4 linked regions of the Pelodiscus sinensis genome follow. The protein of the gene in region 1 interacts with the protein of each later gene in a pairwise test. Links are inferred from orthologs where the notes say so. Each region holds a gene or a part of one and is shown in the gene's direction. Other genes may lie near its edges.

Evidence for each region.
Region 2: the proteins of CREB3L1 (region 1) and SLC35B4 interact in binary tests that used the Homo sapiens proteins (3 or more experiments, as listed by UniProt). The two-hybrid records come from large-scale screens. The link is inferred for Pelodiscus sinensis from reciprocal best matches to the Homo sapiens genes CREB3L1 and SLC35B4.
Region 3: the proteins of CREB3L1 (region 1) and PLP1 interact in binary tests that used the Homo sapiens proteins (3 or more experiments, as listed by UniProt). The two-hybrid records come from large-scale screens. The link is inferred for Pelodiscus sinensis from reciprocal best matches to the Homo sapiens genes CREB3L1 and PLP1.
Region 4: the proteins of CREB3L1 (region 1) and FXYD domain-containing ion transport regulator 3-like interact in binary tests that used the Homo sapiens proteins (3 or more experiments, as listed by UniProt). The two-hybrid records come from large-scale screens. The link is inferred for Pelodiscus sinensis from reciprocal best matches to the Homo sapiens genes CREB3L1 and FXYD3.

Annotation. Positions count from the first base shown.
Region 1 is NC_134714.1:83,758,375-83,766,369, forward strand, and holds the start of CREB3L1 (cyclic AMP-responsive element-binding protein 3-like protein 1), read left to right. Parts: upstream 1-4,982; 5' UTR 4,983-5,442; coding exon 5,443-5,550; intron 5,551-7,995.
Region 2 is NC_134711.1:5,046,391-5,053,601, forward strand, and holds the start of SLC35B4 (nucleotide sugar transporter SLC35B4), read left to right. Parts: upstream 1-4,200; 5' UTR 4,201-4,296; coding exon 4,297-4,373; intron 4,374-7,211. UniProt on the Homo sapiens protein: Antiporter that transports nucleotide sugars across the endoplasmic reticulum (ER) membrane in exchange for another nucleotide sugar.
Region 3 is NC_134723.1:4,500,399-4,507,453, reverse strand, and holds the start of PLP1 (myelin proteolipid protein), read left to right. Parts: upstream 1-4,049; 5' UTR 4,050-4,200; coding exon 4,201-4,204; intron 4,205-7,055.
Region 4 is NC_134734.1:6,495,972-6,502,793, reverse strand, and holds the start of FXYD domain-containing ion transport regulator 3-like, read left to right. Parts: upstream 1-3,803; 5' UTR 3,804-3,946; coding exon 3,947-3,993; intron 3,994-6,219; coding exon 6,220-6,310; intron 6,311-6,822. UniProt on the Homo sapiens protein: Associates with and regulates the activity of the sodium/potassium-transporting ATPase (NKA) which transports Na(+) out of the cell and K(+) into the cell.

The DNA of each region.
Region 1 (7,995 bases):
TTCATCTGTTTATATACAGCAGTGTTTCTCAACCAGTGGTATGAATACCCTTAGGGGTACTTGAGAGAAATCTGGGGAGTACGTCAACACAATTGAAATTTGGAGAAAACTCAATTTTTGTTTTAGGTTTTACAGTGTTTTATTGTTTTTGTACTTTTTACACCCAAAAATTTCATCACCTGCCCGGCTGCGATTAAGTTGTTTAAACAAACATGTTGCAAAGACAGAAAAAAAATTGTGTGTGTCTGAAAACTGTAGGTACTGGGGGATACTTATAATTTTTTTGAAGGGGTACTTTATTAAAAAAGGTTGAGAAACACTGATATACAGCACTGTCCCCAGGGGAATATGAGCTTAGAACATTTATGTTTTAGAAAAAAAGTGTAAATACAAAGCAGGATCTTTGAGCTGACAGACTTTTTCTCCTGAGACATTTTTAATCTCTAGGATGGAGAAGTCCCTGTTTGAATGTGCTGAAGTGTTTTTCCTTTGCAATTCAGACAAACAAGTCACGTTTACTTTGCTTGACCTTTTCTGATGACACGCCTACCTGGTGAATACAAACAGTAGCTCTGCCTCATACATGCACCCCGCCTGTATGAAAAGGGTGATTCTGAAAGGAGATTTCCTTAAACTAACTTAGGTGAAAAACTGGATCAGAGAGGCTTTATGCAATTCAGAGTAATTTGGTTTTAAAAATCATGGTGTGAAGTTTAGTGCTTATAAAAGTAACATGAGGGTTTGGTTAGTGAGGGCAGGAACAGTGCAAGCTTCCCCTATAATAGCTCTACCAGTGCACCTCAGTCTTGACACTAGCACTGCTGTTTCAGCCCTCAGTTCTGCTACTACCACCATCCCCAGTTTCACTGATACACGTTACCCATGAACAACCCTAATCCTTAGGGAGAAGGGCAGGGGAAAGAGCCCTCTTCCTAGGGCTTGTAAACATTATGGAGAAGATTAACCCTCCAGAGGTCGATCTTCTAGTGTTCAGTTTAGTGGATCTAGTGTAGACCACCCAATCAAATGCTGAGGGCAGCCCCCACCAGCATCCTGTGCTCCTCATTCTGAGAGGAGTAAGGGAAGCCTGGACAGGAGTGTGTGAGCCCATTGGCCTCCTGCAGTTTATCATAGAATCATAGAATACAAGGACTGGAAGGGACTTCGAGAGGTCATCGAGTCCAGTCCCCTGCTCCCATGGCAGGACCAAATACTGTCTAGACCAGTGGTCCCCAACCTTTTTAGGTTGTCGGGCGCCAGGGGGCGTGGCCGTTTGCCCGCCGGGCGCCAGGGGGCGGGGACCGGGGGCGCCCCCCCATCCACGCGCCCGGGGGCGGGGCCCCACCTACCGCGCGCCCGGGGGCGGGGTCCCCCCATAGCTGCATGCCCGGGGGCAGGGCCCCCTCTAAGGGTCGCGCGCCCGGGGCCGGCGCTCCCCGCCACCCCCACCCTCCCGCCGAGTCCCGCGCGCCCGAGGCCAGCGCTCCTTCCCCCCCCCCCGCCGAGTGCTGCGCACCCGAGGCCGCCGCTCCTGCTCCTCCCCCCCCCCGCCAAGTGCCGCGCGCCCGAGGCCGGCGCTCCTGCTCCCCCCCCCCCCGCCGAGTGCCGCGCGCCCGGGACCGGCATTCCCCCCCCTCCTGCCGAGTGCCGCGCGCCCGGGACCGGCGTTCCCCCCCCTCCTGCCGAGTGCCGCGCGCCCGGGACTGGCGCTCCCCCCGCCGCGCGCCCGGGGCCGGCGCTCCCCCCGCCGCCTCCCGCCGAGTGCCGCGCGCCCGGCGCTCCCCCCGCAAGCGCCCATGCGCCATGTGCCCGGGGCCAGGCCAGCCCCGAGCACCTGGCGGGCGCATTGAAATGCCCCCGCGGGCGCCATGGCGCCCGCGGGCACCGTGTTGGGGACCACTGGTCTAGACCATCCCTGAGAGACATTTATCTAACCTACTCTTAAATATCTCCACAGATGGGGATTCCACAACCTCCCTGGGCAATTTATTCCAGTGTTTGACTACCCTGACAGTTAGGAACTTTTTCCTAATGTCCAACCTAAACCTCCCTTGCTGCAGTTTAAGCCCATTGCTTTTTGTTCTATCCTCAGAGGCCAAGATGAACAAATTTTCTCCCTCCTCCTTATGACACCCTTTTAGACACTTGAAAACGGCTATCCTGTCCCCCCTCAATCTTCTCTATTCTAAACTAAACAAACCCAAATCTTTCAGCCTTCCTTCATAGGTCATGTTCTCTAGACCTTTAATCATTCTTGTTGCTCTTTAATCATTCTTGTTTAGATGCTGCAGTGGCTCAGCTTAAGGTAAGCCGAATCCAGCTATGCATTTTGCTGGTCTAGTGTAGTCCAGTGTGCTTGTCGCTGGACTACTCATTCTTTTAGGCAGCACCAGAAGTGATGAGGAAATAAATGTCAGTCTTCTGAGAGCAAATGGGTGCCCTGGGAAGAAGGTCAGAGAAGCCCTAAGGAAACTCATACCACTGCAAGAGGAGAATAGATATTTCCAGCTTCCTTGGGAAGGATCGAGTGGAGCCCTTTTCTCCTAGCTTTTGAACCACATGAGCAGACCTCTAAAACCATCAAGAAGGGACTCTTTCACCAGACAAAGTGTAATGTAGCCATACTGCCCATGTGTAGCCCTGTGTCCCCACATTAGAGAGCTGGATCTGAGGTGGCTCTGTTACCAGAGACTATGGACGGGGAGTGTAAGGTTTTTGTTCTGTTTTGTTTTGTTCTGTTTCCATTGTCTCCTTGTAGTGGTTATGAAGTACGCACTGTGGACATTGCAAGTTTCTTCCTTTTTTCCTGTGTTAAACAATTAGTCCCAAATACCTTCTTGTTTTTGTTCTTGATGTAAGTGACAAGCTGAAAGTCTTCTGGAATCCTAGCCCAATTCTCTGCTCACTATTTGTGTCTATGATTTTCATTTACATTAAGGCCACTTTACTCCTCATGGGCAGCAGAAAGGGATTGGGAAAGTGAGAGCAAATGTAATTTAAAGTGGCTATAAGCCCTGGTTCTCGCTCACACTATGGAGCATGTCTACACTGGGGAGTTATTTCAAGATAACTCCCCTTATTTCAAAATAACAAGGCGAGCATCCACGCTACCAACCCTGTCATTTTGAAATAATGGGCTTGTTATTTCAAAATAATAACTCCTGCTTGTGAAAAGGAATAAGCATATTTTGAAACAGTTATTTCAGGAGTTATTATTTCGAAATAACTTATTTTGAAATAACCTAGTAGTGTAGACATAGGCTATATGTGCAGAGAATTTGCACATGGGGACTAGTGTGAGGGACATTCTCTGGTCTTTAGGATTTAGGATTAGCCCTGAGACCTGGTGGAATCAAGAAAAGAGTGTGACTATGAACCTTCAGTTGTTGATGGCATCTCAAAGTCTGACACAAACGCAAGTGTCCCCAAAGCGCCTGTCTCCTACTGGTCAATTTCATCATTTTAAATTATTCTTGTAGTTGGAAGTTGGCAGCCAAGTGTCCTTTGGGAGAAATGCACCTTCATTCTCTCTGAAGAATTGGTTCCCCAGACATAGATGAAGGATTCTTTGGGCTACACTGGCTGAGCCATGAGGGTAGGGATTGAGGGATACCAGAACTGCTTCAACAGGATTATTCTAAGAGGTTTTCCTAAGTGTTCATCAGAGTGAATATCAGAGGGGATAGGGATTTATAATCCTGTTTATTTGAAGACATATAATCTTCCTGAAGCTCTTAAATGGTGCCTGAATCTTTAATTACAGAGCTGCAAGATGGGATGCTGCTAACAGGCCCCCCTGCACTGACTTTTGCTGAGGGTAATTGGCAATAAGTAGTCACATGAACATTAAGCTGACGCTAGGCTTGGCTATCTTAGGATAAAATATTGGCAGATGTTTAACAGTGAACTTGCTTTGGCAGTCAGTAAATGTGGCCACCCCTGTTCTAAGGTAATGAAAGGAATACCTAGGGCAGGGCTACTCAACACGTGGCCCATGAGCTGCATGTGGCCCACGGTCCATTTGTTTGCAGCCCATGATGTGGTTTGGGTTTACGTGGTGCTCAACATGTGGCCTGCGGGTGGGAGCCAAAGCAAAAAAATAATCAATATAGTGGTTTTCCGTTGATATGCATTTTAGCATTTAAATTCCTGGACTGTCATTGCTCATTAAAAGTGCTGTCACATGGGTGGAAATCTGGTAAATATTGCGTTTTATTAATATCAGCAGAACCAACTTAAATGGGGCCTGTGTGTTGTGTAGTCTTGCCTTAATCTTTGTATTCATGCCCATCAGTGTGAAAGAAGCTATTTGTATATATATGTGCATGTATATGCAACCACACTTAAGTTGCGGCCCTTGGCATGTTCTGTGAGTATTATTGTGGCCCCCGGGGCTTCCAAAGTTGAGTAGCCCTGACCTAGGGTGTTGGAAATACACTACTGGCTCAGAAGAGTGCCACCTAGTGTATCATCCCCATAATAGTGGTAGGGAACCTTGTGCTGTAGCAATTGGTATCCCTCAGTAGGAGATGCTCTCTGGGAGTACAGAGCCCAGTGCCCTAATGTGGTGCTGCAGAAGTTGTCCTTGTCAGAGTCATTGGGATGTCCAGGAGAAGTTCTAGATTGTGCTGGGGACACACATTAGCACTGGGCCCTGCAAAGGCGGAGCAGTCAGCCGTGGCCTGGCTGCCACTCTTGCATGCAATGGTCTTTCACAGCTTTCTCCCTCTTACATCTCCCCACAATGGCTTCTGTCTGTGTTGTCCCCCAGGCTGTCTGGGGCCTGATAGCTGCTCAGATCCTCCACGAGCCCAGTTCCCTGCCCTGGCTCTGGGTAGGATGCGCCCACTGTCCCTAGCTCTGTGCTGTCAGTGTGAGAGCAAGGGAGGAGCAGGGCATTGCACCAGAGCTTCCTTAAGAGGCTGATCAAGGAGGGGAGTGCTGCCTCGCAGAACCTTTAATATTCATGAGCTAGGGGGCGTGATGTCCAGGCCGGCCAGGCGGCTGAGCCTGGGGATCCTCGGCGGAGTGTGAAAGTGACAGCTGGGCAGAGGGGAGTCCCGGCGGAGTGCACCGCCCCGCCTTCCTCCTGCACGGCTCCAGGAGGCAGCCCGGGCCCCTGCCCGCGCCCGGGGGGTTCGGATCTGCCCAGCCCCAGGCGTGGCACCTTTGCCCCCCTGTCCCGTCCTCAGCCGTCGGGGGACCCCCAGCAGCCCCCGCCTCTCCGGGGAGCCCCTGTGCCCCCGCGCCCTATGGATTGCCGCCGTCCCTTGGGAGGAGGAGCCATGTGCAGTCGGTGCCCGGGGCCCTGCCATCGGCTGCACCGGGCGGCGCGGGAGTAACTCCGAGCCTGGCGGGTCTGCGGAGGGAGCGAGGACGCCCCGGCTCCGGCCCGCCGCGCTGGCGGGAGGGCGGCTCTGCGCCGCACCTAACCCCGGCACCATGGACAGTATCCTGGAGCCCTTCCCCTCCGAGCGCCTCTTCCCCGGAGGCGGCTCCGGCTTCCTGGACCTGGGCGACCTGAACGAAGCGGATTTCCTCAGCAATGTGGTAAGGGCGCCGGCCGGCGGTGGGCGGGGGCTGCCTGGGCTCGTCCTGCTTGTCCTGGGCTCCCCGCCAAACGGCTCCTACTCGTGCCGGGAGCCTGGGCAGCGCAGCGCCCCTTTTCCTGCACCTGGCTGCAGTCCTGAGCGCCCCCTGGGCCTCAAAGCTCAGCCAGCTCAAGTCCTCTGGAGCTCCCCCCCCCCCCACACACACACAACTCCTGGCACCTCCTCTAGGGGATCGGTCGTCTCAGCCCCTCTAGTAAGATCCATGCCATTGTTTTTGAAACCGTGTCTAATAGGGATCCCGCAGCAGGTCCTGGGGTGTAATTCCGTGGCATAATTAACTCATCCCACTCTAACTGCACTGGAGAGTGGAGACCCTAAAGCTGTGGGGGCAGCCCTTCTGCTGCTATTTCCCTTGCTTACCTGCTTTTTGTAAAATGACCTGGGGGTGAAACATCTGTTGCTTGGCTAACACAGTAGCGATTTACTTTAGGGGGAGGACGAGTGAACTAGGACTAGATCTATTTAGTGTGTCAAAAGAGAGTATTTGTCTTTAAGAAGATTGTCCAGACTTTGTGTACTCATGTCATGTAACTCACATGTACAGTAGTTCCATAGGAGGTCGTTATCCCAGATGAGGAATTCAAACTTTGTTGTTTGTGAGCAAATGTAGCTTTGGATTATCTGGGGTTATCGTCCCAGTAAAAGATAAAACAGTGACACAGAATCTGGTTTGTTCTAAGTGTAACATGTTTTATTTACATGTACACCAGTCCTGGAACAGAGATGGTCACAAACAGCATGGAAGTAATACCTCCTTTCAGGCCTCTCCATGGCCTGTCTCAAGAATTGACTCCAGTTAGAGACAAAGGATATGTCAACATCATGGAGGGACTGCAGCACATGTACACATGCCTAAATTACCTTTGATCTAGCTAACTCAATCAATATCAGTGAATTCCAGCAGCAAGGGACCCTGATGATATATTGGAGTGACTAACCTGTACTGCAGCAAGTCTTCTATAAGTTATTTGAGCTAAATAGAGCACATCTAGCCTACTGTTTATGAGTGGAGACGGCATACCTCTAATTGCAGTGTAGACATACCCTTAGGTTGAGAGTAAATTCTTCTTCTGCTTACACAGCTCATTCTACCTAGAATCTTTGCATGCCAAAACTAACCCACGCACAGCAGGTCTTCTCAAGACAGAACATTTGTTCTCAACCTAAGACCTGGTCTGCATACATTTGAAAGTTTTACTTGTGTAATTATTTTAATTAGGAGTGGGATCTCTGCCGCCCCCTCAGTAATACTGGTAAAAGCCTTTGGATGGGATGAAGTTATTCTAATATAAAAGTCCCTTGCAGCAAATTAGCTTATTTTTATATAAGAATAATATAAATCATTATATGTATTTTTATGCCACTATATCTGGAGCCGCATTAGGGGAGTTGTATAACTTAACTATATCAAATAGACTATACCTACTGCCTCATCCAGTGATACCCACCATGACATGATATTTACAAATGTGTACTGACCATATGCATTGTGTTAATTTCCTGACTGATTAAATTCCATCTCTGTTCTGGCAGTGACTGTAAAACTGACCTGAGGAGTCATCCATTTTCATTATTTCTCAGTGACTCTAGATTTATTATGCTCAATTGACAAGTAAAAACTTTTTTTTCCATTTACACCACAGACTACCCTGGGGATCTGAGACTCTTTGTTCTTGTGCAGGATCAACAATAAAGATTCTGTAATCTTAGTGCAGATAACAAATCTGTTGATGATACCAAAGCCAGAATGTACTGGAATCTAATTCACCCTTTGTGTAGTGGATCTGCAGGGAAAACTGCCATAAAAAGGAGCAAAGATTAACTTTAGGAAATCCATCAAATCTTAATGGGACGGGATCTGTTGATTAAGAAGATCTCATTTTTACATAGTTGCTTTTCAGAGTATTGTACTTAACATCAAAGCACTAGGGTTGCATGGTAATCCTTAAAACTGTCAATGATTTTTCTTTGGAGGGAGAGATGAGGTTCAATATGGAGACTCTTCATGTAATGCTCAGCAAATGTAGTTCCCTCTAAAGAAGTTGAGTGAGCATTGAGTTCACTAAGAACCCTTTCCTGCAACAGTAACCTTCTTTAGTTAATCATCTTGTCACTTAAGCAGTAGTTTATAAAATCTAAGTCTGTTACAAGATGAAATAATTGGATCATAGGTCTAAGGTGCATCTTGGAATTAATAAATTAATGTGTTTGAAAAGGGATGTTTGAAAGAGAACAGTGTTATTTGTCAGAGGATGACTGATATCTAGTTTAAAAAGCATAAACATGGCTGGGTCTAATCAGTGCTTGGATGGGTACACACAAGGGAAAAGGTGTCCATGGAAAATGTTCCTTTTGTTCACTGAGATGAGCATATTACTAATGA
Region 2 (7,211 bases), on another chromosome or scaffold:
TTGTCGATATAATGGTCGTCTGTTGAGATGTGTTTTAGTAGTTAAATTCCTGGACTGTCATTGCGCATTAAAAGTGCCGTCACATGGGTGGAATTCGGTAAATATTGCATGTTATTAATATCAGGAGAACTGACTTCAATGGGGCCTGCATGTTGTGTAGTCTTGCCTTCATCTTTGTATTCATACCTGTCAGTGTGAAAGAATCTATTTGCATATATTTGCATATATATTTGCATGTACATGCAACCACACTTAAGTTGCGGCCTTCAGTATGTGCTGTGAGTCAGAGTTGTTGAGTCCCATGACTTGAACTCGAATCTGACTTAAGTCGCCGAGGTGACTTGACTTGAGACTCAACTCGGGTTCATTGTTTGTGACGTGAGACTCGCTAATTTTGTTAAATCGACTTGGTGAAAAAATTGTCTGAAAATGCCGATATTGATGGCTTGTACAAAAGTGTCTTGACATTTTTTAAATTAAGACTTGAGACTCGACTTGGGACTTGACTCGAAAGTGACTTTAGGGACTCGAGACTCGACTTGAGACTTGAACTGTAGTAACTTGAGACTCGACTTGGACTTGACAATGACGACTTGAAGACAACACTGCTGTGAGTATCATTGTGGCTCCCAGAGTTTCCAAAGTTGAGTAGCCCTGGTATACAACATTACTGTGCTATAGCAATGTATCATGCATAGCCTATCACCCCACACTGGTGGTTAATATCGTGTATGTATTAACACTCAATGCTGAATTATAGATGCTCCTGATATTACGACTTAAAAGTCTGTGCTCCAGCAAGGATTGAAGATAGCTATCAACCTGTCTCCAGTTTCAATTAAGCATTATGTAATCAAAGCAATGGGAGCCTTACTTACATCTGAACCAGCGGGGGAATGAAAAACTCACAAAAAGGGAAGGACAACAGGAAGTCATCCCGATTGTGGAGACAAATCAAAGAGGGAAATATAAGTAGGGATGTAAAATCCCATTGAATTATGGAGCTAGTTAAACTGGTTAACAGATTAAATGGGGGCCGCTGGGGGGGGCACTCCACCCTACTGGGCCGGAGTGGTCTCACTGCCAGCCACGCCCCGGCTTCTCCAGCTGGCTGCCAGCTCACAGTCTGTGTGGGTTGGGAGTCGGCAGCCTCACACAGGGCCAGAAGTAGCAGCAGGGTGGGGGGAGGAGGCTGACAGCTCCCAGCCCACATAGACTGACGGACCGCGTGCAGGAGTCTGCTCTCGGGTAGCAGTTAACCGTTACACGGTAAGCATCACCCATGCTCACTGGGTAACCGGTTACCAAGTTACCCATTCACATCCCTGAATATAAGTCGAAGGGGGGAAAAGCCATTACTTAGGGGGCATAGGAGCAACCCCCGGTGAAAGCAGGATCCCCTAGTCTAGAGGACTAAGGATGCTGGTAACTTGATGTAAGAAAGGAACCGGCTTAGGCACAGATCGTAACTTGCTAAGACTACCTTTTAGTCATGGGAAAGTGTGTTTTATTTTGCTTTATTTGTAACCATACCCATCTCTTTTTCTCTTATGTTAGTCTCATGTAAATGTCTGGTCTTTGTTGCTAAACCTATTCTTGATTTGTTACAGAACCAGCGCAGTGCTGCCAGGTGTAAGTCTTCAGCTCACGGAACAGGCTGATGTGTTCTCTGTCCCTTTGGAGGCAGGCAGCGAACCTGGTGACTTTGGTGAGGGAGAGGGACTGATACTGCAGAAACAAAAAACAGGACTATGTAGCACTTTAAAGACTAACAAGATGGTTTATTAGATGATGAGCTTTCGTGGGCCAGACCCACTTCCTCAGATCAAATAGTGGAAGAAAATTGTCACAACCATATATACCAAAGGATACAATTAAAAAAATGACCACATATGAAAAGGACAAATCAAATTTCAGAACAGAAGGGGAATGCGGGGGGAGGGGGGAGGTAAATGTCTGTGAGCTAATGGTATTAGAGGTGATAATTGGGGAAGCTATCTTTGTAATGGGTAAGATAATTAGCGTCTTTATTCAAACATGCTTAAATTTGACACTTTACACTCAAGTTTGAATAAGGACTCCAGCCCACGAAAGCTTAGACCCAAATAAAAGTTTCAGAGGGGTAGCCGAGTTAGTCTGTAACTGGAAAAACTTAAAAAACAATAAAAGTGTTTGTCTTTAACGTGCCACGGGACTCCTTGTTGTTTTAGTAATCACACAATGGTTCAGACGTCTGGGGCTTCTTGCATGAGAAATATGCAAATGAAGCTAAGAGTGGAATATTGCCAACCCTCATTTGCATACCTAATGAGCTGCCATTTTTGCAGAAGGGGCTCTTGCGCCAGAACGAGCTGTCTACACTGCCCCTTCTTGCGCAAGAAAAACCCTCTTGCGCAATGCCATTACTCCCATTATTTTCAGGAATAACGGCGTTGCGCAAGAGGGTTTTTCTCGCGCAAGAAGGGGCAGTGTAGACAGCTCCTTCTGGCGCAGGAGCCTCTTCTGCAAAAATGGTGGCTCATTAGGTATGCAAATGAGGCTCGGCAATATTCCACGCTTAGCCTCATTTGCATATTTCTTGTGCAAGACGCCGCGAGTGTAGACATAGCCTGGGAGTCCTAGACTCTAAGGAAAGAGGGTCAGAACGATCTCACCACGCTCTAAAAATGAAGGATTTTATTCTTGCTAATTCACGCCATTCACCACCGGATCTAAAGCCCATTGCAGTCGAAAGGAATCTTTCCTACGACTTCAGTAGCCTTTAGATCAGGCCCCTTGAGGGACCATTGCTCAAATCTTAGACTGGGGAAGATTTTATATCTCCATGTTTTTGGAGTCATTTTGGTTTCTTCCCCCGTACTCTAAGCTCTTTGGAATTACGGGCTGTTGCAATGGGGTCTGTCCATTCTCCAATAAAAGGATGCTCCCTGGTGAGAAGTGAAGGAAGACAGTTCCGGGCCTGGAGCCTTTGGTGGAAGATGTGGGGCAGCAGGATGCTGATTCCCGAAAGGGCCCATCAAGCCCCTGGCTATGTGTCATGGAGTGTGGGGGAGTCACCGGGCCCTGCACCCCATCCGCAGTGAGATGTGATTTTCAGCCAGCAAGTAAAACAGAAAGTTTCTTGGTTCACAGCGTGGCTCAGATTTGTTGTTACAGGAACCAGGAGCATTCAGCGCAGCCCATCTTGGGGAAAGCCCCAGCCCCCGGCCAGTTAGGTTCCCTTCTCCTCCAGCCAGCCGAAAACTAACTCTCACTCACAGCCACTGCTCCCAGCGCCCCAGCAGCCCCGCCTCCTCCTTGGTCCTTCTTCCAGGCCCAAGGTGTTATTTGTGGTCACCTGGGCCTCAGGACATGAGCGACTGCATAATGGGCTGTGCCCATGAAAGCTCATGATGCCATCTATATGTTTTGTTTGTCTTTTAAAGTGCTACGAGACTATTTTTTTTTTACGTTTATACTTCCACAGTGAGTCGTGCCGAGCCTTCCCCTCCTCATGCAGATAGTGCTGCAGTGCCCAGGGAAACTGAGGTGCGCGCGCACACACACACACACACACACACACACACACACACAGAGTTACTACAGAACAGCACAGGACAGTAGAATCACATAAAGCACAACAAAAAGCAAACTGAGTGCATACAAATCAGAGTGACGACAGCAGCCGACACAGTCCCCACTGTCGCACTATGGTCAGTTCAAGGGGGCGGCGTGGGAAAGTTGTGTCTAGCGCCGTACAGCACCGAGCACGCGGTCGGCATTGAACGGGCAGTCGTGTTCCTTAATGCTAATCGTCTCTCTGATCAGCCTCAGCCAATCATTGAGCAAAACTCAGGGGCGTGGGAATTCTGCCAGAGCCCCCCACCCCCTCCAAGTGGGGGGCAGCGTGCAGCCCAGAAGGTGCCCAGTGGGGCGAGCGTGGGAGAATGGGGCAGCCAGGCTGTGAGCTCTGGTCCTGAAATCCTCGTGGGGAGCTGCTCTGCCCTCAGCACCCCCCTTCCTCCTGCCCCTCGCCCTACCCCCTGCCGCTGCTAGCACGCCTCGTGCCCTGGGCTCAGCCAGGGGCGCGGCAGCAGCCCTGGGACTACAACTCCCATCACCCCCCGCTGCAAAGCTGCCGGCGTCGGCGGGGCCGCGCGGAGGCTTCTGGGAGCTGTAGTCCCCCGCGGGCGGAGCGGCCGTGGCGAGGCACGGCCGGCGGGCGGGGGAGGAACTACAGGCGGGCGGCGGCTGCTCCCCGGGGAGGTGGCGCCGGGACCGGCTCGGCGCGGCGCTGGGAGCCCCCCGCCCGTCACCATGCGCCTGGCCGCGGCCGTCGGGCTGGTCTTCGGCGGCTGCTGCAGCAACGTGGTGTTCCTGGAGCTGCTGGCCAGGTGCGCGGGGGGGCCCTGGGGGGGGCTGCGGGGCTGGGGCCCCTGGGGGGGTGGGGTGGGGTGGGGTGGGGTGGGGGATGGGGGGGGAGAAGGGCTGTGGGGCTGGGGCCCCTGGGGGGGGGAGGGCTGTGGGGCTGGGGCCCCTGGGGGGGGGAGGATGGGGGGGAGGAGGGCTGTGGGGCTGGGGCCCCTGGGGGGGTGGGGGATGGGGGGGAGGAGGGCTGCGGGGCTGGGGCCCCTGGGGGGGTGGGGGATGGGGGGGAGGAGGGCTGTGGGGCTGGGGCCCCTGGGGGGGGGAGGATGGGGGGGAGGAGGGCTGTGGGGCTGGGGCCCCTGGGGGGGTGGGGGATGGGGGGGAGGAGGGCTGTGGGGCTGGGGCCCCTGGGGGGGTGGGGGATGGGGGGGAGGAGGGCTGTGGGGCTGGGGCCCCTGGGGGGGTGGGGGATGGGGGGGAGGAGGGCTGTGGGGCTGGGGCCCCTGGGGGGGGGGAGGATGGGGGGGAGGAGGGCTGTGGGGCTGGGGCCCCTGGGGGGGGGAGGATGGGGGGGAGGAGGGCTGTGGGGCTGGGGCCCCTGGGGGGGGGGAGGATGGGGGGGAGGAGGGCTGCGGGGCTGGGGCCCCTGGGGGGGGAGGAGGGCTGTGGGACTGGGGCCCCCTGGGGGGGTGGGGGATGGGGGGGAGGAGGGCTGCGGGGCTGGGGCCCTCTGGGGGGGTGGGGGATGAGGGGGAGGAGGGCTGTGGGGCTGGGGCCCCTGGGGGGGTGGGGGATGGGGGGGAGGAGGGCTGCGGGGCTGGGGCCCCTGGGGGGGTGGGGGATGGGGGGGAGGAGGGCTGCGGGGCTGGGGCCCCTGGGTGGGGTGGGGGATGGGGAGGAGAAGGGCTGCGGGGCTGGGGCCCCTGGGGGGGTGGGGTGGGGGGGAGGAGGGCTGCGGGGCTGGGGTCCCTGGGGGGAGGAGGGCTGCTGGGCGGGGGGCAGAGCTCCTGAGCTTGGGCCCCGGGGCTGGGGGGGGGGGGGGGGGAGAAAGCAGGGCTCCTGGTGTGGCTCCTGGGCTAGAGGGGGCGGGCAGGGACAGGGCTCCTGGGCTAAGGGCTGGGGGCAGGGCTGCTGGGATGGGGTTGGAGCTAGGGGTTGCCAACTCTGACTGAAGTTATCCTGGGAGATTCCCCCCCGCCCCCCCTTCTCTCTCTCTCTCTCTCTCTCTCTCTCTCTCTCTCACATACAGAAAGAGAGAGAAGAGAGACCATTTTCTTACAATAGCCTATTAAAACCTCCAGGATAGCTTTCCTTGGGCGATTGACACCGATTCTGGAAGACTCCTGGCCAGTCCTGGAGAGTTGGCATCCCTCTCTGGGGATGGGTCAGGGATGCCTGATGTGACTTCTGGGCTGGGGCGGGGGGAGGGAGCAGGGCTTTTGGGCTTGGTGGTGGGGGAGGCAGCGGGGTACCTGGGCTGGTGTTGCTAAGGGATTGGCTGCACTGACACATGACTGCACTGTGACTTTCTTGCTCAGGGGTCTGGAAACACCCCCCTCCCCTGCTTTAGGGTACACTTGAGTCATGTTTCCAAGCTTTTCTCTGCAAATTTAAGTGGTGTCAATGAAAACAAAATATGTGAATGTATTCCCATGACTCAAGGAGCTCGGGCACTAAAAAGACCATGGGACTCATAGTAAAATCATGAGATCTGGCACCACTGCTCTGCTTCCGGTGCAAGTCACTGCCTCTTTCTGTGACTCGGTTTCCCCATCAGTAGCACACCAGTGTACCTACCTGGTATATATTGAAAGTTCCTGTGGTGTTTACAAATGCAGAGTGCTGTGCGGGGTTATTGGCATGTGGCAATGTTTTAATAGGCCGGAGCTGAGATCCTCCTCCTTAAAAGAATGAAAAACCTCAAAAAGGATTTTCTGGTTATCAAAAAAAAACGTGGAAAGCCATGAAGTTTCAGAATCAACGCTACAATCAGAAGAAAGCCAAACTATGAGTAGCAAGGTGCGGTGTGGGGTATCAAGGGCCTTTAGCAATGCCCTGAGAAAAAGCCCTCTCTGAGGTGAATTTGCCTCTCCGTTACAAAGTCAGCTCCTCACTGATCCAAGAGAAGAATTTTACTTCCAATCGTACAGTGGTTAAACCAGGACTGCACTTCTTGGTAGCCTTGCACAGTTCATAGAAAGATGCGTTTTACCAGCAGCATACTGAGGAAAATAATTTCTCCCCTTCCCCCTCAAATTTCCCTGTGCTACCAATAAGGGCAGTTCCATTAGACACAGACCTACCCATGTAGCTGTCAGTCCCAGGATATTAGAAAGACATGGTGAGTGAGGTAATATCTTGTACTGAGCCAACTTCTGTTGGTCAGAGACATAAGCGTTCGAGCTACACAGACCGAATGTTGGTTTTCAAGCCTTCTGGCCATCGGTCAACCAAATAAGGCCCCGGAGCCTTGAGGTTCAATATCAGGGATGCAAAACCGCAGCCCGGGGCCAGATGCAAACCCTAACTTATCCAGCCCATAAGGCTCAGGGCCTCCCTCCCCACCCAGCCACTCCACTGCGGGGCTGGAGCACATGTGTGGCCCCCAACTGATTTTTCTGTGGGCCAGCAGGCCCCAACCCAAAAAAGGTTTCTCACCCCTGTTCTATACAGCGGACTGAGTTGTGTAGATCCAGTTGCAGGATTAGAGCCTAAGATGACCACTTACAAAGAAGAGAGGTGACTGGTTAGCAAAGCTTCACACTTCACGTCACAAAGACATCCATATGAATCTAGTTAACCAACCTGAGTTGTGTGTGTGTCATGTTTTGAAACGTCACCTGAGCAGGCTGCAGGTAAATCAT
Region 3 (7,055 bases), on another chromosome or scaffold:
ACCGGAATGGGACTGTGGATTCCCCCAGCGCTGATGCATGAGGACTGCACAACAGGAGGGATCGGTCCTTCAAGGAGCCGTAATGGGGCGCTCCTTAGCCCAGGAAGGATCCCACCCAACTCCGGGCAAAGAGCAGGGGGCAGCCGGAAGATCCTGGCCAGCGCTCCCTTGCTCGGGGAAGCAGATCTGAACAGCCACGGCGGTGTGGGAGCTATTGTTGGGCACATAATGGTGGCTGTGTTTGCCCACGTGCTCGCTGCACTCCCCGTGTCTAGCTCATTGCTTTGGAAAGCCCTTAGGGTACCTTTGAGAAAACTGCAGAAAACTGCCTGCGGCTCTTGGCAAGGCCTTGAGGAGACACCTGCCGTGCTATGGAGGGTGCCTGATTGCCCCCGAAATCCTCCCACATTGCCACAGGCTTTTCGCATGGGAAGCTCAAACCCTTTGCAAGAGCAGGCACCAAACCCAACTGGCAGGCTGGCAAGAGGCGCTGGGGTGGGAGCTGAGATCAACTCTCTTAAATTTTCCATTTCCCTCCCTGGAGTAACACCGGCCCCCGGAGGCCCTGAACCTGGAATCTCTCTGGACCCTGGAGAGCGTCCGCTCTGCTTCTGAGTCCCCAGGCCTGGAATTCCGTGTGGCTGGACCGAGCCGCATCCGTTCCCTCCTGGGCTGCTGGCCCGGCTTTGCTCCCCACCTCGGATCGCTGAGAAAAGCATCCAGGCTACCAGCCGCATCCTTAACCTGCCCCGTTGCAGCCGCCCTTTGCCCTGGCCACGTACACAGCTCTTCGGGGAGCAGTGGTCTTGCTAGGTAAGTCTCCGGCTCGGCTCTACCGAGAGCCCAGCCGAAGGAGCTGCACGTGCACAGGATCAAGCCAACGGTGTCTCTGGCCAGGAACCAAGGTCCCCTTGGAGGCAAAGCCGCCCCTCACATCCAGCATGTCTTTAGAAGGTCCCTTGCTCCCCACCTGCCTGTCTGCATCCCAGCAGATTAGTGTCGTTTGCACGCGAGCCCAGACAGTGTCAATGCTGCTAGCCCGGCCTCGTGTGTGGTCACTGGCAGTGGCTGACCTCCCCGTCCAGGGCTGCTAGTGCCGGGGCTGGCACAGGGAGTAGAGGGGACACGGCTGGATCCCCAGTTGTCGGGGGGTGGCAGGTGGGGAGATCTTCTGAGCTCTCACTGGCACAGATGTCGGGGGAACCACCAATGAGAAACAGCAGAACCTCTCAAAGCCATCTCCCTCCGCCCATCCTCTCCCAGCGTGGGGCCTGACTGCTTGGGGTGGCTGCTGAGACTTGGAATTATTTGCCTTCCCTCGCTCTCGTGGTCCCTCATTTTCTCAGCTGGCTTGTCTCGCCCTGTCTTCACCCCCCCAGTACTGCCGGCTTCAGCATCCCGCCCAGAGCAGCAGCCCTAGAGGGATCGAGGCGGAAGAGGGACAGAACCTGGGATTGGTTGGTGGCTGGCTTGTCCCAGGCAGTCGGCCCTTCCCAGACACCCACACCGACCACACCGTAACAAGGCCCAGCCGGGACTCTGGGATGCTCTTGTGGCTGCAGCCTTGCGTGGTGCGGGACACGTGGCTCGTGACACGGGAGGGGCTCTTGAGGACTAGCCCCACCACATCACCTCCCAGGGCCAGGTTTTCTCCTCTCCGCAGAGGGAAAGCCCCGGAGCTTGGGAAACGCTCGGCTAGGAGCAGAGGCCTGCGCCAACACTAACCCCTGGTGGGGCGGGGGTGGGCAGTTTGGCTGGAGGGGGAAGGACCGGACACAGCTATTTAAATGGGGGGGGATGCCGACCTCTCTAGTGCCAGGGGATGCCAGGAGAGCTGGATGGGAACTCCCCACTGCATACGAGCCGACCTGTGCGTATGGGGGAGGCACAGCCGTGGGGGCGGCGGGAAAAACTCCCCCTGCCAGGCCGAGTGTTTGCTGCTGCGGGCCAGGCAGGGTCGGGCCCACGGGACTGGCCTTCCCGGCCCCGGCGACCTTCAGCGCTTTCCCGCTCCTGCCCCGGCTGAGATCCAGCGCGGAGGCAGGGCCAGGTGCCTGTCCGAGGTGTGCTGTCCGGGGCTGCTGCAGCCATGGGCCCCGGGCCAGGTCCTGATGCTCAGCAAAGCGCAGAGCCGGAGGCTTTCCCACCTCCCAGCCTGGCACAGAGGGCGAGAGATGGATCCGCCTCGGACAATCCCGCCTTGTTCCCCCCTGCCCACCGGAGAGCACATGGCGGCCTCTGGCAGGGCCACGCTGCCCTCTGCTGGCCTCCCTCCGCGTTGGCAGCACTGCAGGGAACGGGGGGGTCTTAGTGGGGTGGGGACTTGGAGTGACAGGGCACCGGGGGAGGGGGACAGAGAGGGGCGTGATGGCCAGGGCTTGCGGCTGCTGGCGCCTCATTTCCTGGAGGAGGAATCCCAGGGTCTGCCCAGAGGTCCAGGTTTTGGGGGGACATGGGGAAGCTGTCGCTGGGATCCACAGGAGCCCATCCAGACAGCGGGGGGCTGATCCCCAGGGAGATCTAGTGCGAGGGGCTGTACGTTCCACCTGGCCCCAGAGGGGACTCGCCCTACCCAACAGACAGCCCCGCTGCTGCTTGCTTTCCAGCTGGCTGCCAGAGAGGTGCCGGGGGGCAGCCTCTAGCTACAGCAGGGAGTCCCACAAGTGGGGACCACTAGGCACATCCCCCCGTCCTTGCCAGATCTGCCCCCATTCGAAGTCACCTCGGCAAGCAGGGCTGGAAGGCTTCCCACAAGCGACTGGCTGGAGCACTGGCACTTTTCTTCCTGGCTGAAGTTAGTGCTGGGGCGTGGGGCTGGCTTGGCAGGTCTGGATCCTGCCCACCCACAGCCCAGGGACGGTGGGGCAGCGCCAGCTTTGCCCTACTGTCCCACTGATCTCTTGAGCCCAGAAGGACCACCCCCAGAGCCCGCACGGCCCGGCATTCTTCAGCCCATAAGACGGTCAAGCATCAGTGAGCGTGGAGGAGCAGGATGCTAGCGGCTAGCGGCCAGCCCAGCCCTGACTCCGCCGTGTTACACCAGCTCTTGTGTGATGCTGTTTCCCTAGGGAGATACAGCCCCAGCAGATCCCCTGGCGGCACGTTTCATGCTCCCTTATCCCCGGGCAGGAAAGTTGTGGTCTCCCTAAAACTGGACTCAGGAGCTGAAGGGGGGAAATGGAATCTGGCCCCCTCCCTTCCAGTGCACCCTGAAACCGAGTGACCCCGATTCTCACTATCTTAGGCTTGAGTTTGAACCTTCAGGTGCCAAATCCAAGCCACCAAGCCCCAAGGGTAGGGACCCACGCCTGGTGCTAGCTTCTGATCACAGAAACCAAGTTACACCTGGGTCCCTTGTGGGAGCGGCGGCTTCTGTCCCCGGATCCAGGCCTGGTGGGGAGTTTTATGGCTGGTTATAAACTCTTCACCAGTGGGGATGTGGGATGGCCAGGAGAGCTCAGCCACCTGTGCCCTGTCACAGTAATTAGCATCCCACATGTAACCCCTGCCCAGGTGAGCTCTGTGTCTGTGTGTCCCGGCTAAGACCCATGGCCAATGCAATCAAATCCAACCCGCTCGTCCCTTCAGAGGCCACGACTAGAAACGCTTGGAGGTGCTTTAAGAGTTTCCCAAAAGCACGGACTTTGCTGCAGAGCTGCCTGATCTGCCCAGGCGAAGGGGCCAGCGTGCCGGCTTTCTGGCAGCAGGGAAACGCACCGACCTGTGGCAGAGAGAAGTGGGCAGCCTGAGGCATCAGGGTACGAACAGGGGCAGCCCGTCCATATAGGCGAACTAGGCAGTCGCCCAGGGCGCCAAGCTAAATGGGGCTCCAAATGGTTTTGCGATATCATTGAGGGGTTTGGAGGGGGGGCGCCGATTGCATGGCTCGCCTAGGGTGCCAGTTGCTGGCAGCTCGTCTAGGGCCACCCCTGGGTATGACCGAGCTACCCTGGAGCAGAGGGAGTAGCTCTCATGAGGGGGAGGGAGAGGGGAGGGAGAATGGGAGGAGGGGGAGGAGAAAAGGGTGGTCTGTCCCTTTAAGGGGGCTGGCTGTCAATCAGAAAGTCCTTTTCTTTGGGAGAGGAGGCCAGAGATATTCAGAGAGCAAAAGTAAAGCGAAGAGAGAGGATTTGTTCGGGCTGAACAAAGAGAGGCACAAAAGGGAAGGCGGTGAGAGGGACTTGACTGAGCCCAGACACAATGGGTGAGTATGAGAGGAACTTTCCAAACTTTCAAACTAACACAAAAGGGATTTTTTAAATCAAAGATTTGGGGGGGGGTGCTAATTCTGGTGTTATATTTGCTCTAAACTTCCCTTCCCCGCACGCTGGTGGGACTTTAAGGGCCTTGGATCAGCAAGTGCCTGGAGAGTCCCAGCCAGGTGCCAGGCTGTAACTGACAATGGGTGCCGTCCTGCCAGAAGCCTGGAGCCACGGTGCCCTCCCGTGTCCAACTTAGCCCGGTCTGTTACTCATCTGTGGCAGGTGCAGACCAAGGAGCTGACACTAGTAGGCAGCTCCTTGGCGGGACAAGACAGGAGCAGCCGGTCAGAGGGAAGCTGCCAGAGGTGGGATCTGCCTCCCAGCGTGGAAAGGAAATCCTGCTGGTGTTGTGGGACGGTGAATAGCTGCCCCGTGGCAGTGGTCGGAATGGGATCTCTGTTTAAAGCTGAATTATGCATCCATTTGGAATCCATGTGCACAGATCGGCTTGGAAACCAGCCTGCCGATCCCAGGGCCGGGGCGGCTCCATGGGGCTGATATGAAATCGTCTGATCCAGAGATTCCTGCCAATGTTAGTGTCCTTGTCGGTTCGCTCTCAAAATCCCCGGTGTGCGTGCGATGTGCTTGGTGGGGTCAGCAGCGCACTTTGTAAGACACAGAACCCTTCCCAGATCATGTCCCTGGCCAACCCTTCCCTCCCCCCCCGCCAGAAGGGTTCCCTCAAACTTTCTCCACCCATGTGCAGAATAAATTTTGTCACGTGTACAAAGGCATGTGCAGATGTGCACCACCAGATGAAACGTGCTGCCAGCTGTGGGAGGCTGTGGGCGTGCTGCTAATCAGCTGGGCAGCACCTGATCTCTGCTAATCTCTCCTGGGCAGCCACCCATGTGCTTGGCTTATGAGGAACCCCAGTGGGTTCCATGCTCCGAGAGACCCACTGCTTTGGCTCCTGCCCTCCCCCTTCCTGGGGGCTGGCTCAGCAATGATGTGACCCCAGTGCCTCCGACTCCCTGAGTCCTCACGAGCTGGCTCCGTTCCTGGAGCTGCTTTCAGGCCAGGTGCAGGGGCCTGTGCAGGACTGCCAGGCAGGGAGGCACTGGAGGGAGCTCTCTGGGATGCAGGGGGATACTGTGGATTTCTGCTGCCAGGAGACTGGTATGGAGCAGACCTCGTCAGTTCTGCGTGGGTATGTGCCCTGCCGACGGGCCGTCTGACCTGTGAGGCAGAAGGACAGCAGGAGAGACCAGCCAGTGGGGAATACGGGGCTGGAGGACAGCAGGAGAGACCAGCCAGCGGGGAATACGGGGCTGGAGGACAGCAGGAGAGACCAGCCAGCGGGGAATACGGGGCTGGAGGACAGCAGGAGAGACCAGCCAGCGGGGAATACGGGGCTGGAGGACAGCAGGAGAGACCAGCCAGCGGGGAATACGGGGCTGGAGGACAGCAGGAGAGACTAGCCAGCGGGGAATACGGGGCTGGAGGACAGCAGGAGAGACCAGCCAGCGGGGAATACGGGGCTGGAGGACAGCAGGAGAGACCAGCCAGCGGGGAATACGGGGCTAGAGGACAGCAGGAGAGACCAGCCAGGGGGGAATACGGGGCTGGAGGACAGCAGGAGGGACCAGCCAGGGGGGAATACGGGGCTGGAGGACAGCAGGAGAGACCAGCCAGCGGGGAATACGGGCTGGAGGACAGCAGGAGAGACCAGCCAGGGGGGAATACGGGGCTGGAGGACAGCAGGAGAGACCAGCCAGTGGGGAATACGGGGCTGGAGGACAGCAGGAGAGACCAGCCAGCAGGGAATACGGGGCTGGAGGACAGCAGGAGAGACCAGCCAGCGGGGAATACGGGGCTGGAGGACAGCAGGAGAGACCAGCCAGTGGGGAATACGGGGCTGGAGGACAGCAGGAGAGACCAGCCAGCGGGGAATACGGGGTAGCTATACAGCTGTCACAGGGTCTGAGAGCAGCTTGTGTGGACCAGTCCTGAGCTTGCTTTAACCTTGCCTCTGCCTCCAGCGCGGGCCACACAGGCCTGCCCGGGACCTTGGCTAGTGACTTGCAGGGCTGGCGGCGCGCTGCTCCAGGAGCCAAACTAGCTGGGTTAACGCTTCCGCAGGTAGGTCCCCGTGAGCTGCAGTCACACCCCTGCACATCAGTGTAGACTGGTGGGGTGAGCCGGTGACCCCTTTCGCACAGCGAGCTGCGGAGCATCATCCCCCCCCCCCCCCCCCATTGATTCAAAACACTTTTCAGACATTTAACACTATTATCAATCCTGGAGGCAAAGTGGGGTGGAGGGTGAGCTCATGACCCCCCCCCCCCCAGTAGTACGGTAGTAACTTCATGATCCTAAGGGGACCCCACCCCTGGTCCAGACAAACCCACAGTGATTAAATTGTATATCTTTAGGGAGGTGACATGGTGTGGTGATTAATACACACAGCCGGGAACCTAGAATTCCAATCCCCGCTAGGCACCTAATGTGTGGTGTGATATTGGGCACACAACTGTGCGTCCCGTGCCTCAGTTTCCCCTCTGGGTCACAGGGATGATGACAATGTGCCTGCCTCACAGGGCTGTGCTGTGAGTTAATTCAAGGCTGGAAGGTGCTTTGAGGTCCTCCGAAGAAATGTGCTATCTAATTAGGACGTGTGATTGTCGCAGGTCTATACGGATCCCAGAGTGCGTTGCACGTGGCCAGCTAGGCAGATGATCACTTTAGACCTCCAACCCCACACTTATATGCAGCCACTTCTGGGGCAAAACACGGCAGCTGTCTCACTAGTGCACAGCAATTCATAGGGCGGGCAGCCACGGTTTGGGTATT
Region 4 (6,822 bases), on another chromosome or scaffold:
CCCTCTCTCTGCATTGCCCACACCTTCCCCTATCCCTAAATCGCCCACTCATTCCCCTCCCTCTGCATGGACCACCCTCTTCCTGCATCGCCCACCTCTTCCCCTCCTGCATGGCCCACCCTCTTCCCCTCCTCCTGCATTGCCTGCCCCTTACCCTCCCCCTACATCATCACCTTCCCCGGCCCCAGCATGGCCCACCCCCACCCCTAACCCTGCATTGTCCACCTCTTCCCCTCCCCCTCCATCACCCAGCCACTGCAACTCCTCTCCATCACCCTCCCACCCCTCCCCCTGCTTCCCCTTCTCCTCCCCCTTCTTCCCCCGCCCCCTGCATGGACCACCCCCTACCCCTAATCCTGTATCGCCCACCTCTTCTCCTCCCCCTTCATCGCCCACCCCTTTCCCTTCCCTCTGTGTCACCCACCCCCTTCTCCTCCCCCTGCATCGTCCAACCCTTCCCCTCCCCTTGCACTGCCTGCCCCCTTCCCCTCCCACATCATCACCCGTCCCCTCCCGCTACCCCCTGCATCGTCCAACCCTTCCCCTCCCCTTGCATTACCCCCCTTCCTCTCCCCCTGCATCCCCCATTCCCTCCCATTACCCCCTGAATTGCCAACCCTCTCCCGCTACCCCCTGCATGGCCCACTGCTTCTCCAACTCCCTGCATCGCCCACCCTTCCCCTCCCCCTGCATCACCCAGCCCAGGTGTGGGCAACCCGCAGCTCTTGAGTTGCATGTGGCTCTTTGCTCAAAGCAATGTGGCTCTTGCTAGTTCTGAGCCGCTCTGCACACATGCCACAGCACCTACAGGCAGAAGTGCATGGCTGTGGCGGCAGCTCCAATGAGACCCAGGCATTGGGTTAGCGCGGAAGTGGGGGGTTGGGGGTGCAGAGGGCATTGGGTTAGAGCAGGGAGGCTGGGGGTGCCTGGCTCTGAGGGAAGTGGAGGACATTGGGTTAGAGCAGGCGGTCTGGAGGTGCCAGGCCCCGGGGGAGAGGGTGGGGCATTGGAGCTACATCTAGACTATGGGGGTTTCCCAGAAAAACTGTGCCATGTCCAGGGGACATGTCTGTGCTTTTTTTTTCTCTCTTCTTCCAGAAGACCAGACACGCTTTTTCCAAAGCCCTGTCTTCCTCCTTCCATGAAAAAGTTTGCAAATTGCGGAGCACAATTTGTGTGCCTTTTCCCAATAAACTTTGAAAACAACAAATGGTCTGGTAGCACTTTATAGACTAACAAAACGTAGATGGGGTCATGAGCTTTCGTGGGCACAGCCCACTTCTTCAGATGACAGCGAAAGCTCATGATCCTATCTCCATGTTTTGTTAGTCTTTAAAGTGCTACCAGCCCATTTGTTGTTTTTTAAGTTTATCCTGCACAGACTAACTCAGCTACCCCCTGAAGCTTTTCCCAATAGATCATTGTAGTCTAGACATAACCTGGATTAGAGGGGGGAGGCAGGGGCTGAAGCATCTTAAACTCAAAGGCTTTGTCTATATTACAAGCCTCTTGCAGAAGAGCAAATGCAAATGGAGCACTCATTTGCATATGCAGCACTCTCATTTGTATTTCCTCGTCCTTTCCCTTTTGCTCAAGAGGTTTTTGGACAAAAAAGTGCAATGTAGATGGCACCTTTTTGCACAAAGATCCCCTTTTTCACAAGAGCCATTCTTCCATCCTGCTCACCACAGCCCAGCACCCCCTACTGGGTCCCCATCCTTCTCCCTGCTGCCCAGCACCCCCTGCTGGGTCCCTGCCCTGCTCCCCAGCATATCCTGCTGAGCTCCCTCCCTGCAGCCCAGTGACCCTGCTCAGCCCCACAACCCAACAGCCTCTACTGAGCCCTGTGCTTCCTGCAGCCCATAACCTCCTGCTGAGGCCCCACCCTGCTCCCCACAGCCCAGCACCTCCTTCTGAGCCCTCACCCTTCTACCTGCAGCCCAGCACCCCCCGTTGTGCCCCCACCTTGCTCCCTGAAGCCCAGCACCCGCTGCTGAGCCCCCACCCTGCAGTACAGTGCCCCGGGCTGTACCCTATTCTGCTTCCTGCAGCCCAGTACCCCCAGCGGGGCCCTCACTATGCTCCCTGCAACCCAGGGCCCCCTGCTGAGCCCCCTGCTCCCTGCAGCCCAGAACCTCCTGGTGGGCCCCCACCCTCTTCCTTGCAGCGCAGTGTTCCCTGCTGAGCCCCTGCCCCATTCCCTGCTGCCCAGTGCCTCCTGCTTATGACTGGGTTCTCCTTGCAGCTGCAGAAAGGCAGCTCTGGGCTAGTATTTAGGAGCAGGACTTCAGCTGCCCCTGCTATAACCCCTAGACCTCAACTCCCTACCTGAGCTGGAGAGAGAAGCCAGGAATCCTGTCTCCCAGCTGGCTCCATCCTACCCTCAACAGTTCCCCTTATTAGAGGGAATGGGGCTCCCCAGCTCTCCTGGCAGGGCTGGAGGTACCTGTTACCATCTCTTTAACCTTTTCCAGCCTACATGGACGGCAGCACTGGCCCTCCCCCTTTATCTCCCTGGGCTAGGCCGTGCCAGGGTTCGCACTTCAGAGTAACGTCAGCATCCGACACGCAGAGACAGAGAGGGTTGGGAATGTTTTTAACCTACAGACAACTGGGACCTGCTCCCAGCCCAGGGCTCCCTGCCAGAGCCCCTCACTCCCGATCCACAGCCCCCGCCAGCCCAGCCCTCCCGGAGTCCCTCACTCCCAACCCACAGCACCTGCCGGCCCCCTCACTTCCATCCCGGAGCCCCCTGCTAACCCAATGCTGGCCGCCCCCTGGGTCCCGCCCACAGCCCTGCCGGAGCCCCTCACTCCTGACCCACAGCCCCTGCATCCCTCGTTGAACTTTGCTTTTAACCCTGGCTACGTCTAGACTGGCATGATTTTCCGGAAATGCTTTTAACGGAAAAGTTTTCCGTTAAAAGCATTTTTGGAACAGAGCATCTAGATTGGCATGGACGCTTTTCTGCAAAAGCACTTTTTGTGGAAAAGCGTCTGTGCCAATCTAGTTGCACTTTTCCGCAAAAAAAGCCCCCATCGCCATTTTTGCCATCGGGGCTTTTTTGCGGAAAACAACTCTCAGCTGTCTACACTGGCCCTTTTGCGCAAAAGTTTTGCGCAAAAGGGACTTTTGCCCGAATGGGAGCAGCATAGTATTTCCGCAAGAAGCACTGATTTCTTACAGTAGGAAGTCAGTGCTTTTGCGGAAATTCAAGCGGCCAGTGTAGACAGCTGGCAAGTTTTTCTGGAAAAGCGGCTGATTTCCTGGAAAAACTGGCCAGTCTAGACACAGCCCCTCTGTATAATCCTGCAGTTGTATTACCACAACCTCCCAAAAGCACTGATTACAAGTCAGGGCCCTAGCTCCCTGTCCATCTAACCCAGAGCCAGAGAAAGAACTCAGGAGCTCTGCTCTAACCCACCAGATCCCCCTCCACAATCTGGGGAGAGGGGCCAGGAGACCTGGCCCCCACTGACCCTTTGCTGCACTGATACACAAGAGGGGCCATGCAGCAGCCTCCAAACTCATTTGCCTGGTGCCTGGGCCCCCAGGGGTTGCCAGATTCCTGCTGCTGCCTGAGGCTGTGGATCTAAGCCCAACCCTCCCTCGCCCAGCCCAGGCTGCCAGACCTGTCTCCACCTGCCTGGGTGTGGTTTGGGCCCTGCCCTACTTAGCCAGCAGGGCCAGAGGAGAGTTGAGCTCTGCTGCCTGATTGCTGTGGCTGCTCTGCTCTGGGTAAGTTGCCAGCTGGGCTGAGGATCCAGGGCTATTGTTTTAGCTGCCCTGTGTGAGCAGGCTACCCTGGGAGCTGACATGTTCAGTGCCCGGATTCTCCTGTTGGCTTTGCTTCTGCTACCCCTGTGCTCAGTGCCTGAGTTTGCCCCTCTGTAAAAGGGGGGAGGGGCAGGATAATCTGTGCTCTGGCAAGTTAAAATGCTACAGGATGGATTCTGGGGGGTGCCGATCTGAGAGGGGTCTGTATGGAACCAGGTGAGCAGGGAAGTGCTGATCTGGAGGAAGGGGAGGTGCCGATATGGGACTAAGTGGGGGTGTCTTTGTGGTGCCTGGCAGGGGAGGGGTGTGCTGATCGGGGGGGGGGGGGGGTCTGTGCAGTGCTTAGGGGGAGGGGCTCTGCAGTGCCTTGGGGTGGTGCTGGTCTGGAGGAAGGGGAACAGAGGGGGTGCTGGTCTGAGGGGAGAGGGTCTGTGCAGTGTCTGGGGCTGGTCTGGGGGAAGGGGGACTGTGCAGAGCTTTGGCAAGAGGGTTGCTGGTCTGGGGGGAGGGGAACTGTGCAGTGCCTGGGGGGCAGGCCAGAGAGGGTGCAATATGTCCCATGACATGCCCATAAAAGACTGGGGCTGCCCCTCCCCTGTCAGTGGTGGCTGAGGGGCTGCTCAGTGAGTTACCAGCATTCTGGGGTCCCTATGGCTGGGCGCCTGGCACTCGAAAGCAACCTTTGGCACAGGCTTGCGGGTGCTGCAGTGCAGCAGGAACACAACCCCGGCCAGGCCAGGCCAATGTGTCACGGCGCTGGGGCTCACCTACAAATGTATTTACTCTGGGCCCCACGGTGCCCAGCTCCAGCCAGCCCCCTCACTGGGCAAGAGAGATGCTTTCTGTGCCCCTCAGGACTCTGAGGCAGGGCAGAAGGAGGAGACTCTAGGAGGTCAGTTTCTATGACCCCCACCCTGGCCCTGCTTGTCCTGTTCTGCTGAGGCCCTGGGCTGGGGACACACCCTGACTGTGGAATCCGCCTGGGACTCCTGCCAGCCCAGCCCTGGGCTCCCTCTTGCTCCTAGAGCCCAGCTGGGAGAGGACTCCTGGGTTCTCCCCGGCCTGGGGAGGGGAGGGGTGTGGGGCTGGGGCTGAGGCTGAGAGCAGGACTCTGGGTTCTCCCTGGAGAGGGGAGGGGTGTGGGGCTGGGAGCAGGACTCTGGGTTCTCCCCGGCCCGGGGAGGGGAGGGGTGTGGGGCTGGGAGCAGGGCTCTGGGTTCTCCCCAGCCTGGAGAGGGGAGGGGTGTGGGGCTGGGAGCAGGGCTCTGGGTTCTCCCCAGCCTGGGGAGGGGAGGGGTGTGGGGCTGGGAGCAGGGCTCTGGGTTCTCCCCAGCCTGGGGAGGGGAGGGGTGTGGGGCTGGGAGCAGGGCTCTGGGTTCTCCCCAGCCTGGCGAGGGAAGGGGTGTGGGGCTGGGAGCAGGGCTCTGGGGTGTGGGGCTGGGAGCAGGGCTCTGGGTTCTCCCCGGGGAGGGGAGGGGTGTGGGGCTGGGAGCAGGGCTCTGGGTTCTCCCCGGGGAGGGAAGGGGTGTGGGGCTGGGAGCAGGGCTCTGGGTTCTCCCCGGGGAGGGGAGGAGTGTGGGGCTGGGAGCAGGGCTCTGGGTTCTCCCCGGGGAGGGGAGGGGTGTGGGGCTGGGAGCAGGGCTCTGGGTTCTCCCCGGGGAGGGGAGGGGTGTGGGGCTGGGAGCAGGGCTCTGGGTTCTCCCCGGGGAGGGGAGGGGTGTGGGGCTGGGAGCAGGGCTCTGGGTTCTCCCCGGGGAGGGGAGGGGTGTGGGGCTGGGAGCAGGACTCTGGGTTCTCCCCGGGGAGGGGAGGGGTGTGGGGCTGGGAGCAGGGCTCTGGGTTCTCCCCAGCCTGGAGAGGGGAGGGGTGTGGGGCTGGGAGCAGGGCTCTGGGTTCTCCCCAGCCTGGGGAGGGGAGGGGTGTGGGGCTGGGAGCAGGGCTCTGGGTTCTCCCCAGCCTGGGGAGGGGAGGGGTGTGGGGCTGGGAGCAGGGCTCTGGGTTCTCCCCAGCCTGGCGAGGGAAGGGGTGTGGGGCTGGGAGCAGGGCTCTGGGGTGTGGGGCTGGGAGCAGGGCTCTGGGTTCTCCCCGGGGAGGGGAGGGGTGTGGGGCTGGGAGCAGGGCTCTGGGTTCTCCCCGGGGAGGGAAGGGGTGTGGGGCTGGGAGCAGGGCTCTGGGTTCTCCCGGGGGAGGGGAGGGGTGTGGGGCTGGGAGCAGGGCTCTGGGTTCTCCCGGGGGAGGGGAGGGGTGTGGGGCTGGGAGCAGGGCTCTGGGTTCTCCCTGGGGAGGGGAGGGGTGTGGGGCTGGGAGCAGGGCTCTGGGTTCTCCCGGGGGAGGGGAGGGGTGTGGGGCTGGGAGCAGGGCTCTGGGTTCTCCCCGGGGAAGGGAGGGGCTGCCTGCACTGGCCCCCTCCCCAGCCCACACAGGCCGAGCTTGTGCTGACAGTTGGTGGATGGAACCAGACAAATCCAGAGGCGCCAGAGGCTGCGTTGGCGGGGGAGGGGAACTCACCTGTGGCAGGACGCTCCCCAGGCAGGTAGGGGGCTGGTGCTGGGTTTCCACCTGAGTGTCTGGGGAGACAGGCTGGGCTGTTAAAAGCCTGGTTGGGGGGGGGGGGGGGGGCTGCATGGCTCTTGGGCAGCCTCAGGTCCACCCGCCAGCGCCTGTGCCTGGGGCAGACTCCTCATACTGTCCCCACCCCCAGCACCAGCCAGACCGCTCCCATGGGCTGCATGGAGCTACTTGGCCAAGCCTGCAGTTAGGAGCTGGGGGCCATACTGTTGTTTCTGGAAGCTGCTTGAGGTAACTGTGGATCCTGCAACCAAGGACTTCCTGCACCCCAATCCCCCTCCCACCCTCTAAACGCTTCAGTCCCAGCCTGCACCCCAAACCCCTCGTCCCCAGCCATGCCTCAGAACCTGCACCCCAGCCAGAAACCCCTCCTGCCCTCTGAACCCCTCATTTCTGGCCCTGCCCTGGAACTAGTCTAGAGCCTGACCCCCCTCCTGTACCCCAACCCCCTGCTCCAGTCTGAGCCCCCCATCCTCT